2 linked regions of the Caenorhabditis elegans genome follow. The protein of the gene in region 2 interacts with the protein of the main gene of each other region in a pairwise test. Each region holds a gene or a part of one and is shown on either strand. Other genes may lie near its edges.

The links. The genes of interacting proteins can lie anywhere in the genome.
Region 1: the proteins of cpl-1 (region 2) and rpn-2 interact in a two-hybrid assay, tested with the Caenorhabditis elegans proteins (one large-scale study listed by BioGRID).

What each region holds. Positions count from the first base shown.
Region 1 is NC_003281.10:6,197,261-6,203,099, reverse strand, and holds rpn-2 (26S proteasome non-ATPase regulatory subunit 1), read right to left. Parts: upstream 3,921-5,839; 5' UTR 3,915-3,920; coding exon 3,860-3,914; intron 3,810-3,859; coding exon 3,282-3,809; intron 3,236-3,281; coding exon 3,105-3,235; intron 3,055-3,104; coding exon 1,834-3,054; intron 1,782-1,833; coding exon 1,632-1,781; intron 1,585-1,631; coding exon 1,058-1,584; coding exon of another isoform or gene 1,054-1,057; exon of another isoform or gene 960-1,053; coding exon 674-959; 3' UTR 506-673; downstream 1-505. Other genes in the region: sna-3 (NADAR domain-containing protein), read left to right, coding at 1-72, 146-340; C23G10.7 (putative tRNA (uracil-O(2)-)-methyltransferase), read left to right, coding at 4,693-4,779, 4,825-5,053, 5,102-5,318, 5,362-5,524, 5,575-5,670, 5,755-5,839. UniProt on the Caenorhabditis elegans protein: Acts as a regulatory subunit of the 26 proteasome which is involved in the ATP-dependent degradation of ubiquitinated proteins.
Region 2 is NC_003283.11:16,592,035-16,597,251, forward strand, and holds cpl-1 (Cathepsin L-like), read right to left. Parts: upstream 3,313-5,217; 5' UTR 3,312-3,312; coding exon 3,054-3,311; intron 2,578-3,053; coding exon 2,479-2,577; intron 1,938-2,478; coding exon 1,490-1,937; intron 922-1,489; coding exon 713-921; 3' UTR 538-712; downstream 1-537. Other genes in the region: srh-269 (Serpentine Receptor, class H), read right to left, coding at 1-8. UniProt on the Caenorhabditis elegans protein: Cysteine protease which plays an essential role in the degradation of proteins in lysosomes.

The DNA of each region.
Region 1 (5,839 bases), on a different chromosome or scaffold from region 2:
ACATCTAGAAGGAAATTTGGAAAAGATAGGGATCGTTTGCCAGAGAAGTCGTCTTCTGATAGAGGAAGAGATGTTGGTTTTTATTATTTATATTGTTTTAGCTTAAAATTTCCCGATTACATGTTTTCAAAATCAAAATTTACAGAAACACCTCGACACTCCCACCAAAAAACGTGTAAACCAGTCTCCTCCATCGCGGAAAGCAGCTCCATCGCCTGCTAAAAAGCCAGCCATATCCACGTCAACACCAGCGGTCGTTGTTCCTCCGAAGCCAAAGCGAGATCCCGAAGAGGAGTTATCAGACGGCGAGATTCTATCAACTGACGAGGAGGATAATTAAATTAATTTTTTACTTCACGTTTTCGTTATTAAAATTTTCAGAATTTATTCATTCATTTTTGTTGCTGTTTCATTTGAATAACACAGCAAGATTTTGAGGCCAGAAAGGATCTCTTGTTTAACAAAAATAAATTTTTTGTCATTATCGCTTGACTTCAATTCATGTAAGTGAAATGTTCTTCATTTTCAGGTATACACACAAATACAAAAATCAGCGGGTTCATGTTGATTCGAAGTCAAACATAAATAGAGTAGAAGGGGGAAAATAAATTAAAAAAGTTTTGAATGGGATTGGGGGAGCGAGATAGAGTTGATCGAATGATCCAGCAATTGATCAAAAATCGTTGATATTGATCTCGAACGTCGAATGGGGTTTGTTTTCGGTATTTCCAGAGCTCGCAGGAGTATTGACCTGAGTGACGACTTCACTGACAAGCTTCTCCTCTCTCTCCTTATCAACACGATCCGCCACAATAATTCCACCCTTGTAAAGTGGCTTCATGGGACTGTAGGCTCGAGCGTCACTGATCGAGATTAGCTGTCGTTGAGCAGGAATCACACGAGCTGGATTCTGTAGGCGGTGCAATGGCTTCGTGTCCTTTTCTGGAGCCTTTTCTTTCCTGAAATAATTGTAAGTTAATTTGGAAATCTTGGTTTTTTAATTTTTATGACAAAAAAAACGAATTCTACTTTTCCTAGACACTCATTCCAAACTTACTTGGATTTTCCTGGTTGATCAACCTCCATTTTCTCATCTTCAGCAGCTGGTGCTGTTCCTGAAGTGGACGATGATGATGGGGCAGCAGCAGCACTAGAAGCGGAAGCTGCAGCTTCTCGTCTTTTTTTCTCCTCAGCGATCAGCTTCTTTGACGCATTCTTCTTTCCGGTGATGGACAGAACAACAGTCTCAATCTTTTTGACATCCTTATCCTTCTTTGATTCGGCTCGTGGTGGATAGGCAAACTTCTGACTATTGGCATGGCAGATGTAGTCAAGTACTGGAATCTTCAGATTCTCGTTCATCATCACAAGGCATGATGGCTTAGCAGCAAGGGCGATGAAGAAATGCATCGAGTGCCAGAACCATCCGTGAAGGAAGCACATCATTCCGACCATTGATCCCATATCTGGCTGCTTGTCAGAATTTTGCATTGTGACCGCAGCGTTCTGCCCTCCGATGTCGAGAAGTCCTTGAGCAATAATTGCTCCAAATTTGACAAGAGAGTCCTCGTTCTTCTCTCCGATCTGACAAACATTTATTGAAAAACTTGATTGTTTTCTTATAGAGTTACCTTTTTGAGCAATTGCTTACGGAAACCGTTCACCTTGGGACAAGTGTAGTCTGTCTGCTGGCACATGATGAGAGCAAGTGAAAGAAGTGCTCCTTTACGAACGAAACCTTCCTTATCAGAAATCATTGGCTCAATCAGAGCAATAGCTTCCTGAAAAACAATTCATTATATCAAACCCCGGTTTCAGAAAAAAGTATCTTACCATGTTTCCTGTTCCAGCACAAGCAATTCCCAGTGCCATAGCTGCTCCGTATCTGACATGTCCATTGAAATGTTCGGTGAGCATGGCCACGTAGGATAAGCAGGTTGATGGATCCTTGGAGAGAACGAATCCGATACCAATTGTAGCGTATCTCTTGACATCCAAATTTGGATCGGTGGCTACTTTCTCGAGAAGACGGCGTACTACATCTGGAGATCCGGTTCCGGCGTAAGCCATCGACAGCATACAGATTCCAGTGGAACGGAGCATTGGATTGCTCTTAGCTCCGATTGCTTCTTTGATGTAAGGCTCAGCATCTCCTTGGAGTCCGAATGCGGCACAGGCAAGTCCAGTTCGGATACCACGTTGAGTTTTGTCATGCTGTGTGTCAACAGTGTATTGCTTGAGCTCATTGAACACCTCTTGATTCAGATGTCCAGCCATGATAAGGCCCATGGCGATTCCTGCGGATTCTCCGGAAACTGCTTCATCACGTTGGAGAACTTCCCGAACTTTCTCGTAATTCGAAACAGAAGACGATCCAAGTCCAGCAACTCCAAATCCAAGACAAGCTCCGTGTCTCACTGGCTCGTTTTCGGCGGTTTTGAGCCACTGAGCCAGAGTGCTCATGGCAGTTGCATCTCCGTGTTTGGCGTGAATCAATCCATATGCCAGCATTGCTCCTCCCTCTTTAAATCCAAATCCTTCGACAGATTCCTTTGGCAAATATGGCTCAAGTACCTTCATTGCAGACGATTCTTGTCCGTGATGAATGAGTCCAAGTGAAGCGACCGCATTGAACTTGTTCCAGTTCGTAGCTTTGGAAACCCAGTTCAAGTTGTTACGGAGGAAATCGTCACAAGTAGTTCCATATTGCATAAGACCATTTGAGATGAGAAGAGCATTGTGGGCAGAGGCTGTTCGAATGTTCTCCTTGATCTCTTCCATTAGAACAGAATCAGTGTGATTATGACGGACAAAGAAGTCGAGGTAAGCCTTGACAGTTTCATGACCTTTGAGAATTGAATGAATCTTTTCCATCGACTTCTCATCACGAGCATCCTGCTGTTGGAAACGTTTCAAAACTCGATCGAGGAATCCTTGACTCGCTGTTTCATATAAATCAAATGCGATCTGATATGCACGAGTGCTGAGAGACTTCGCGATCAAACTCGTAATCGTGTCAGCAGCGGCCTCGGCGTTATCCGTGAGCACGTAACACTGAAAATGTTTATTTTGTAATTTTACTTCGATATTTGTATAAATCATACCTCGCAAATCTTGGACATGTCCGGCGATGGGCACTTCAAGTACGTCTTGATGACTGTATCGATAACTTGGAATCGGAATGAACGATCGAACGCGCCATTGACAACACGGTTGAGCGTTTCGACAAGTGTAGCTGCACAAAAAAGAATGACGTTTCAGCTTAGTTATTATTGACTTACTCTGATTCTTGATGGTCAAATCTGCAGGCATCGCGCTAATGGCCCTGTCGATCATAGCCAGATTGGTCGTCTCAAATCCTAACGAGATGACAAACCATATCTCTCGTTTATCCAGATTTCTAGCAACAATTCGGTCGATCAAATCTCGGAGTTTCTGAGGAATTCCAGATCCTTGCTTGCTCAGCGTCTTGTACGTGTCAATGGCCGTCTCGATGATCTTGTTAACATATTCTGCGTCGTTTCCAAGACCGGTTCTTGTAGCAGGAACGACGTTGAAATCACCACGAAGAGCAAACTCCAAAGCACGTTCATACTGCTCCAAGCAGAAATAAACTTTGGAGACGAGCAGTGCAGCGGATGAATGCTCTGGGAACGTGTTGTTGTCAAGGAGCTGCTCTACAGCTGGAAGGGCGTCAGCGACCTCAAACCATGTGTTCACAAGAACATCCCAATCGTTAAATGCTTTGAGAACGAGCACTTTGTCGGTCACTGCTGATTTCGGTGACTCGAGAACACGAATGAATGCGGCTGAAAATGAACAATTCACAACGTTTCTTGATAGATATTAGTTTTGATACCTGCGTTTGAAGCGCCTCCTGGCTGAGATCTCCATCTGTTCAACAATGTCAACATCTGAAAGAAATCAAAATTAAAAACAATCCGAAATGAGAGCAGCTAGGAGAAGATAGTTGCGAAGCATAGTTTATTATAAAATGTTTTTCTAGGTTATCAGAAAAACAGCTTTCTCGTCTTAAAAGACAAATTAGAAAACGTCTAAAAATAAATCAGGCGTTTTAGAAAATCATAAAATTACTCAAACACCAACAATGGATGAACCGAACGAAAAGAATGATTGCGAATGACAAATTTCGTCCAAAAACACATACATTTTCAGATAAAAGCTGACAATTTCGCGGTTTCCCGCTGTGGTCAGAATTGTCATCCTCCGCGATGTGCGTCAACTAATCGATAATTGCGCCAGCACATGGGTGTTGGCGCATTTTCTTCAAAGTTGTTTTCTTATTTTTAGACAATATTTTTCCCAGCAATTCCGATAAAAATAGCATATTTTAATTTTTAAAATCAGATAAAAGTGTATTGGTGTCTAGTTTGACCGCTCTAATGCTTAATTTTTCACTGATCGTCTCAAAGCTATGCGGTGGTTACTGTATTAAAGGCTCATTGCACATAGTTATGACATTGGTTTCAGTCTGACTTAGTTTTTGTAGTTTTCAGAGGAACATTTCCGAATTTTCTAGAACTTTCTATATCTTCGAAAAGCTTACCTTTCTGCGTGTTGGATATTTTCGGCCGAACTAATCAATAAAAGTTTATTGAATAATTTTCTTTTTCCTTTGAAAAACTAGTTTACCAATATATTCAATTAAAATTTTACGTTTTTAGGCGTTTTATGTTTCCTGGTTCAACATGGACAGTTATTGTAGAACAAATCGCCGAATACGAAGAGGTTATTGATCCAAAAGCGTTTTTTGATAAGGTAGTTATTGTAATTTGGAATATTGTAATTGAAAGAAAAATTCAGATTATCAGTCTTTGGAAGGAATATCCAAACGCTATCAGTAACAGAATTACAACTTCAGTTTCAGTGGATACAGATTCAGATTTATGGAATGAAGTTTTAAGAACATTTGAAACACATTACAAATTTTGCCCGAGAGATTGCAGCGAAATAGCTATTACGAAAATCATACACAAGGATCTCGCTAATAATAAATTCTCAGATAATGCGTTTGAAGTTTCTTACTATGAAGGTTTGTTTCGAAGTTAGTCTTCTTTTGAAATGATGTTTTTGTTTTCAGAAGAACTCCTTGTACGATTCTACCCAATTACTCTCGATGGAATGCAACACCCACATTTCGAGAGCCCGTATTCAATTGCCATTAAAATCCCAACAGATACATCCATTCAACTTCAGTTTTTGAAGCAAGCTAATTCCTCTCAAGAACATTTTGAATTTATGAAGAAACAAGCATTCAAACAATTGTACACTTGGTTGAAAGGAATTGATCTTTCAAAGTGAGAACGCTATGATTTAACAAAGTCTAAACGTTTATTGCAGATCATCTCGAAAGACAAATTCTCTACTCGACAAAGAGTCCTACATCAAGACATATCGTCATATTCGAGAGGATTATGGCAGAGGAATGATCAAAGGATGGACAGAAAACTCTAATCCACAAAAATCAATTTTCGAGGATTGTGGGATTGCTTCATATATAAATGTAAAATTTATCTATTTCAATAAAATTCCCATCTTTCAAAATATTTTTAGGAGCTTGTCAATTCTGATCTCCTACCAAAGCCGAATAAATTCGTGGATATTGGATGCGGAAATGGTCTTCTTGTTCATCTTTTGAACAAAATCGGAGTAAGATTTTTTTTTTAATCGAAAATTGATTTAATTATAAAATTCATTTGATTTAACTTTAGATTTAAAAAAATAAATGTTTAGATGTCTGGATACGGAATTGACGTTCGTCATCGAAACATTTGGAAGACCACTCTGAAAGATGTGGACCTACGCGAAATGCCTGTCG
Region 2 (5,217 bases):
GTGTCCATGTTGAGATTAAAAGTTTAAAACAAAATATTTGAGAGGCAGGGAAACTTATAGCTCGATGAATAACACGCATAGAATGAATTCGAGGGGAAAAAGTAAAGAGGTGGATAATTATTGAAAAATACGTGCAAATTGAACCCCTTGGGAAAGAACATCAGTCTACTTTCTGAGGTTAGAAACTGCGAAAAAAGAGCATAGGTCCCACCGAGATTTGAACTCGGGTCGCAGGATTCAGAGTCCTGAGTGCTAACCGCTACACCATGGAACCGCGGTGTACAGCGGCGGCAAATGTTTGTAATGAGAGAGGGTTAACAATCGACAACCGCTGCTTTGCAATGTTTATTTAATTTTTCGTGGGGGACTTTGATTGACTAGGCAAGCAGGCAGGGGCGTAGACACGCTAAAAAGGACGTCACAACTTGGTGTCTGAATTAAAAGCGAAAACGAAAACTATAATTCAAATTTGTTACGAGCTAATTATATGCTCTTACTATTTCCTCACTTGTTTTTAAGACAGAAAAATGCAAAACTAAATTCAAAAATCGTTTATGTACACCACAATTTGAAATACATAATTATAGATATTAGAGAAATTCCAAAAAAATACAGAAAACGAGGTAAAGCTTGACAGAAAAGAGTCAAAGAATTGCAATTCGGGGCTACAATTAAATTTTCCAAAAAAAAAAATTAATTATTAAGTTCAAATTTAGACCAATGGATAACTGGCCTTGGTGGCGACTCCGCAGTGATTGTTGCGGTTACGGGCGATACGGATGTATCCCTTCTCTCCCCATCCAGCTCCCCACGAGTTCTTGACAATCCAGTAGTCTCCGTGCTCTGGGTCGGTTCCGTATCCGACGAGAAGCACTCCGTGGTCGAGCTCTTCGGATGAGCATTCCTCATCGTAGTAGACTCCTGAAAATGGATGATATTCGGTGGAACTTAGGCTGAGTTTATGCTGTAGGCCTAGTTTTAGGCCTAGGCTTAGGCTTTGGTTTAGGCATTTGTTTAAGCTTAGGCTTATGAGCTAGGCTTGGGATTAGACTCAGGCTTAGTCTTGAGCTACGGCTTAGACTCAGGCTTAGGCTTAAGCTTAGGCTCAGGCTTAGGCTTAGGCTTTCGCTTAGGTTTAGGCTTAGTCTTAGGCGTAGGCTTAGGCTTAGGCGTAAGCTTAGGCTTAGGCTTAGGCTTAATCGTAAGCTTAAGCTTAGACTTTGGCCTAGGCTGATGGGGTTATACTTTGCTACTAAACAATTTATAAATTCCTTCACCACTTTCACATTCAAGTTCGAACCCAAACTATTATTGTCAAGAGGGTATCATTCAAAAACACGAGTTCTCTTATCACTATTGCCCTCTCTGTCTCTGATGAAAAACCCGAGTAACTAGCTTTCTTATCATTATCATCCAAAATGCAAATAAAACTGACCCGTCAATAAAAACTAGTACCCCCCCCCCCCTCACATCTTCCCACAAAACATACCCTTCTTGTAAAGTTGGAAGCTGCGGTGTCCGGCGTCGATAGCAATAGAGATTGGTCCTTGGGTGGCGACAGCGATCTTAAGTTGCTCCTCATCTCCTTCTGGGGTGTCAACGTATCCCTTATCATCAGCTCCGACGGTCTTCTTGTTGAAGTGACACTTCATGTCACGTCCCTTGTATGGGTATGACTCCTCGGTGTCGACACCATGGTTGTCACGAATGTACTCGAAAGCTTGATCCATGAGTCCTCCGTTGCATCCGTGGTTTCCGTACTTGGTAGAGCAGTCGACGAGGTTTTGCTCGGAAAGGGAGACGAGTTGTCCCAGCTTGCGAGCGTGTTGTCCTTCGAGGGCTCCGGTGGCGGAGAAGGCCCAGCACGATCCGCACATTCCTTGGTTCTTGACATCAGTGACGAGGTGGGTATCACGCCAGTCAACCTCATCTGGGACCTGAAAATTGAATAGGTTTAGGCTTGAGTTTAAGCTGAGGGTTTGGTTTAGCCGAAAGCTTGGGAAGCTCAAGCTTATGCTAAGGCTTAGGCATAGACCAAACTTCTTCCTGGACTGAGCCAAATCCATCAACTCACAATCAGTTTCAAGCCTAGGCTTAGGCTTAGGCTGAGGCTTAGGCTGAGGCTTAAGCTTAGGCGTACACTTAGACGTAGGCTTAGATTTAGGCTTAGACTGAAGCTCAGGCTTAGGCTTATCCCCTAGAAGTTCATCACAGCTCTAAGCTCTGGTGTTCAAATTTCAGCAAAAACAGTTCTAACCATTTGAATCTTGTTTTTAAACATTTCGGTGACCAAAACATTGCGAAATTCAATTTTCAAGCGTATCAATCATCAGAGATGATAATTCAAAAAATACGGTCAGCGAAGAATTATTTTTATCGGTCGTTGAAAACGTTTTTGTTTATGCAAATAGTTTTATAGTTTTGATCGACGAGAAAGTTAGTGTCTGGACCCCAACAAAACCCCTCTCAAAAAATTACCTGAACATTGAATGGAGCCAAGAAAGAGGAGGAGTTCTTGATTCTGGAGTCACCGAAGAGACGTCTGTAACCGTTGAGTTTGCGGTATTGGCTGAATGGCTGAAAAAAACAAGAGTTTGAAAATCAAATGACCTTCGTGTGTTTTGTCAGTGTGGTGGTGTGATAAGCCAGCTGTTGGTCAGTCACGAGACGAGGATTTCATATCTTTATCTTTTTTTTTCTCGCTGGGTGAGATTTTGATAGTGGAACGAGACAGAGAACAGCTTTTTGAAGTTTTTATAGGGGGTATTTATTTTCTTATCTGTCGAAATTAGGAAATGCAAAAAAGGAAAACTTGAAAATCCTCGCTTTAGGAACTTGGGACTCCGGAGCTCCAAACTTGAGATCCTTGGGCTCAAAAATTGTGATCCCGGAGCTCGTTACTTAAGAACCGGAGCTTGAATTTTGAAACCCCGCAGCTCAAAACTTGGGACCCTGGAGCTAGAGACTTCGGTCCTCGGAGCCAGAATTTGAGTCCCCGGAGCTCAAAACGTCGGACGCCGCAGCTCATGGTGCATTGAAATGCATATTCTTACCAAGTCAGCAATATGATTCAATCCCATCTCGAATGTCTTTCTTCCGAGTCGGTGATCTCTGTTGTGATTCTCAATATGGATCATATTCTTGACAAATGCCTCCATATAGGTCTGCTCCTCGCTCTCCGAGTACTCCTTATCAAAGTCCTCCTTATAGTCGTCCCATTTCTCGATGGCCGACTCGATTTGACGGGACAGCTTGGCCGAATTGACGGCGACGACGGCGGCAACCAGTGCCAGAAGAATGAATCGGTTCATTCTGGAATTTTATAACATTTAAAATTAATTTGAAAATTCTACAAAAAGCAGGGGAAACACGAAAAAATATGGAAATGGAATAGGAACTACAATGAACACCTCCCGAGGCGAGTTTATGAAGGATCCTAAAGTAGGCGGGGACAGCGTCAATCAGTGCCAGGACGAGTGTGAGGAGAGAGATGGAGAGGCGGAGAGAAACAGAGAGCGATCAAACCATCAGGTTATCAGTCAACTGATAATAGAGGGAAATTAGGGGTGAAAGTGCTTGCTCCGGTGCTAGGAGCTCAGAATAGTACAGAAATTGGATGATTATCATAATAGGGTTAAGTCAGATAAGCATGTGATCAGGGATAAGTGTTTCGAAAAACGGAAGTTTTCGAGCGGAAGTTTCCGAACTTCTTGAAGTATTGAACATACAGAAAATTAAGGTTTTTGTAGTTTGTAGTGCCCCCAAAGTTTAGAAAACTACCAGTTTTGCTAGAAATGTTTCCAAAACCGAGAAAATTGTTCGCCTTTTAAAAGTGTCAATTATTGGAGTTTAACCGCAAAATTCCAGCAATTTGTGTCAATTTCTACTGTTTTATTGACGTTAGGAACAGAAACTTCCATCAAATTTTGCTCTTTTTGAAGTATGAACTTTTTTTTCGGTTTTTTTTCCAGAAATTTTCAAAACTTTTCATTACGAAATTCGGTAGTTTTTAACGATTTTGGGCCCCAAAAAGCAATGTCTCAAAATTTTATAAGTGGTCCTTGACTGATGTCGGCTGCTTTTTTAGCAAAGGTCAAACTACAAAGTGAGTCAAGTTTTTTAAAATTAACTTTGAAAAAACAGGGGGAAAAAGGACAGAAAACAAACAAACAATTAGGTCACTTTAACAGGTGGCCAACAATGTAAATAAATTGTTTCGCATTCTAAAGGATTTCCAAACAAAAAACTTAGGAATGAAAAACGAGAAAATAAATGTCATCAGCAAGAAATTACATAATCATCCAGCTATTGATAAGATACCTGGTGAAGACGGTGAGATAATCTACGGGAATAAGGAATGATAATGGGAACCTGTTTTTTTTTTGGAGTGGGGAATGGCAGACTTGAGATGTTCTAAGCAATTTTTTGAAATCGACAATTGTTTAATCTTGGGGAAATAGGGAAAAAAAGAGATTTCGAAATTTGGAAATTTCAAAATCTCAAAAAATGCTGTAACTCGTATGAAGTTTTTTATAACTTTCAGCACGTGAATTTCGAAATTCAGTAATTTAAAAACTCAAAATTCAACTAACTAACAAGAAAAATGTAAGAAAAATTATAATTGGAAGTTCTCACTTTCAGACATTTTTCGATACAAAATTCAAAGTTTCAGCACCTAAAAAATCGTAAAAAAATGAATTTAATTTATTTTCAAATAAAAAAAAATTGAAACTTCAGATATTTTCCCATAAGAAATTCAGATTTTGAGACGTGTTCACATAAAAATTTAAATTTCAGACGGGAAAGGAAAATCGTTACGTATTTTTCAATAGAATTTCATAAGTTCATACAATTCTAAACATGGAAGAAATAAAAATGCCGCCAATTTCAATATGGAAATTCAGATTTTGAAGAATTTTTAATAAGTACCTTTGAAACTTCAGACATTCTTGCACAGGAATCTCTAAAATTTTTGTCATTTTTATATGAAAAGTTTGAAATTTCAGACGTTTTCAGAAAATAAATTTTAATTTTCAGAAATTTAGAACTGAATATTGAAGTTTTTTTCGGGAGAAAAGTGTAAAGTTTCAGTAAATTTTTAGATGCAAATAACTTTTTTTTAATTTGGACATATTTAAATAGAAATACTTAAACTTCCAGTTTTTATTTCGAAGGCAAAAATGAAATTTCTGGCCTCAAGAAAAATTATATCAGTAA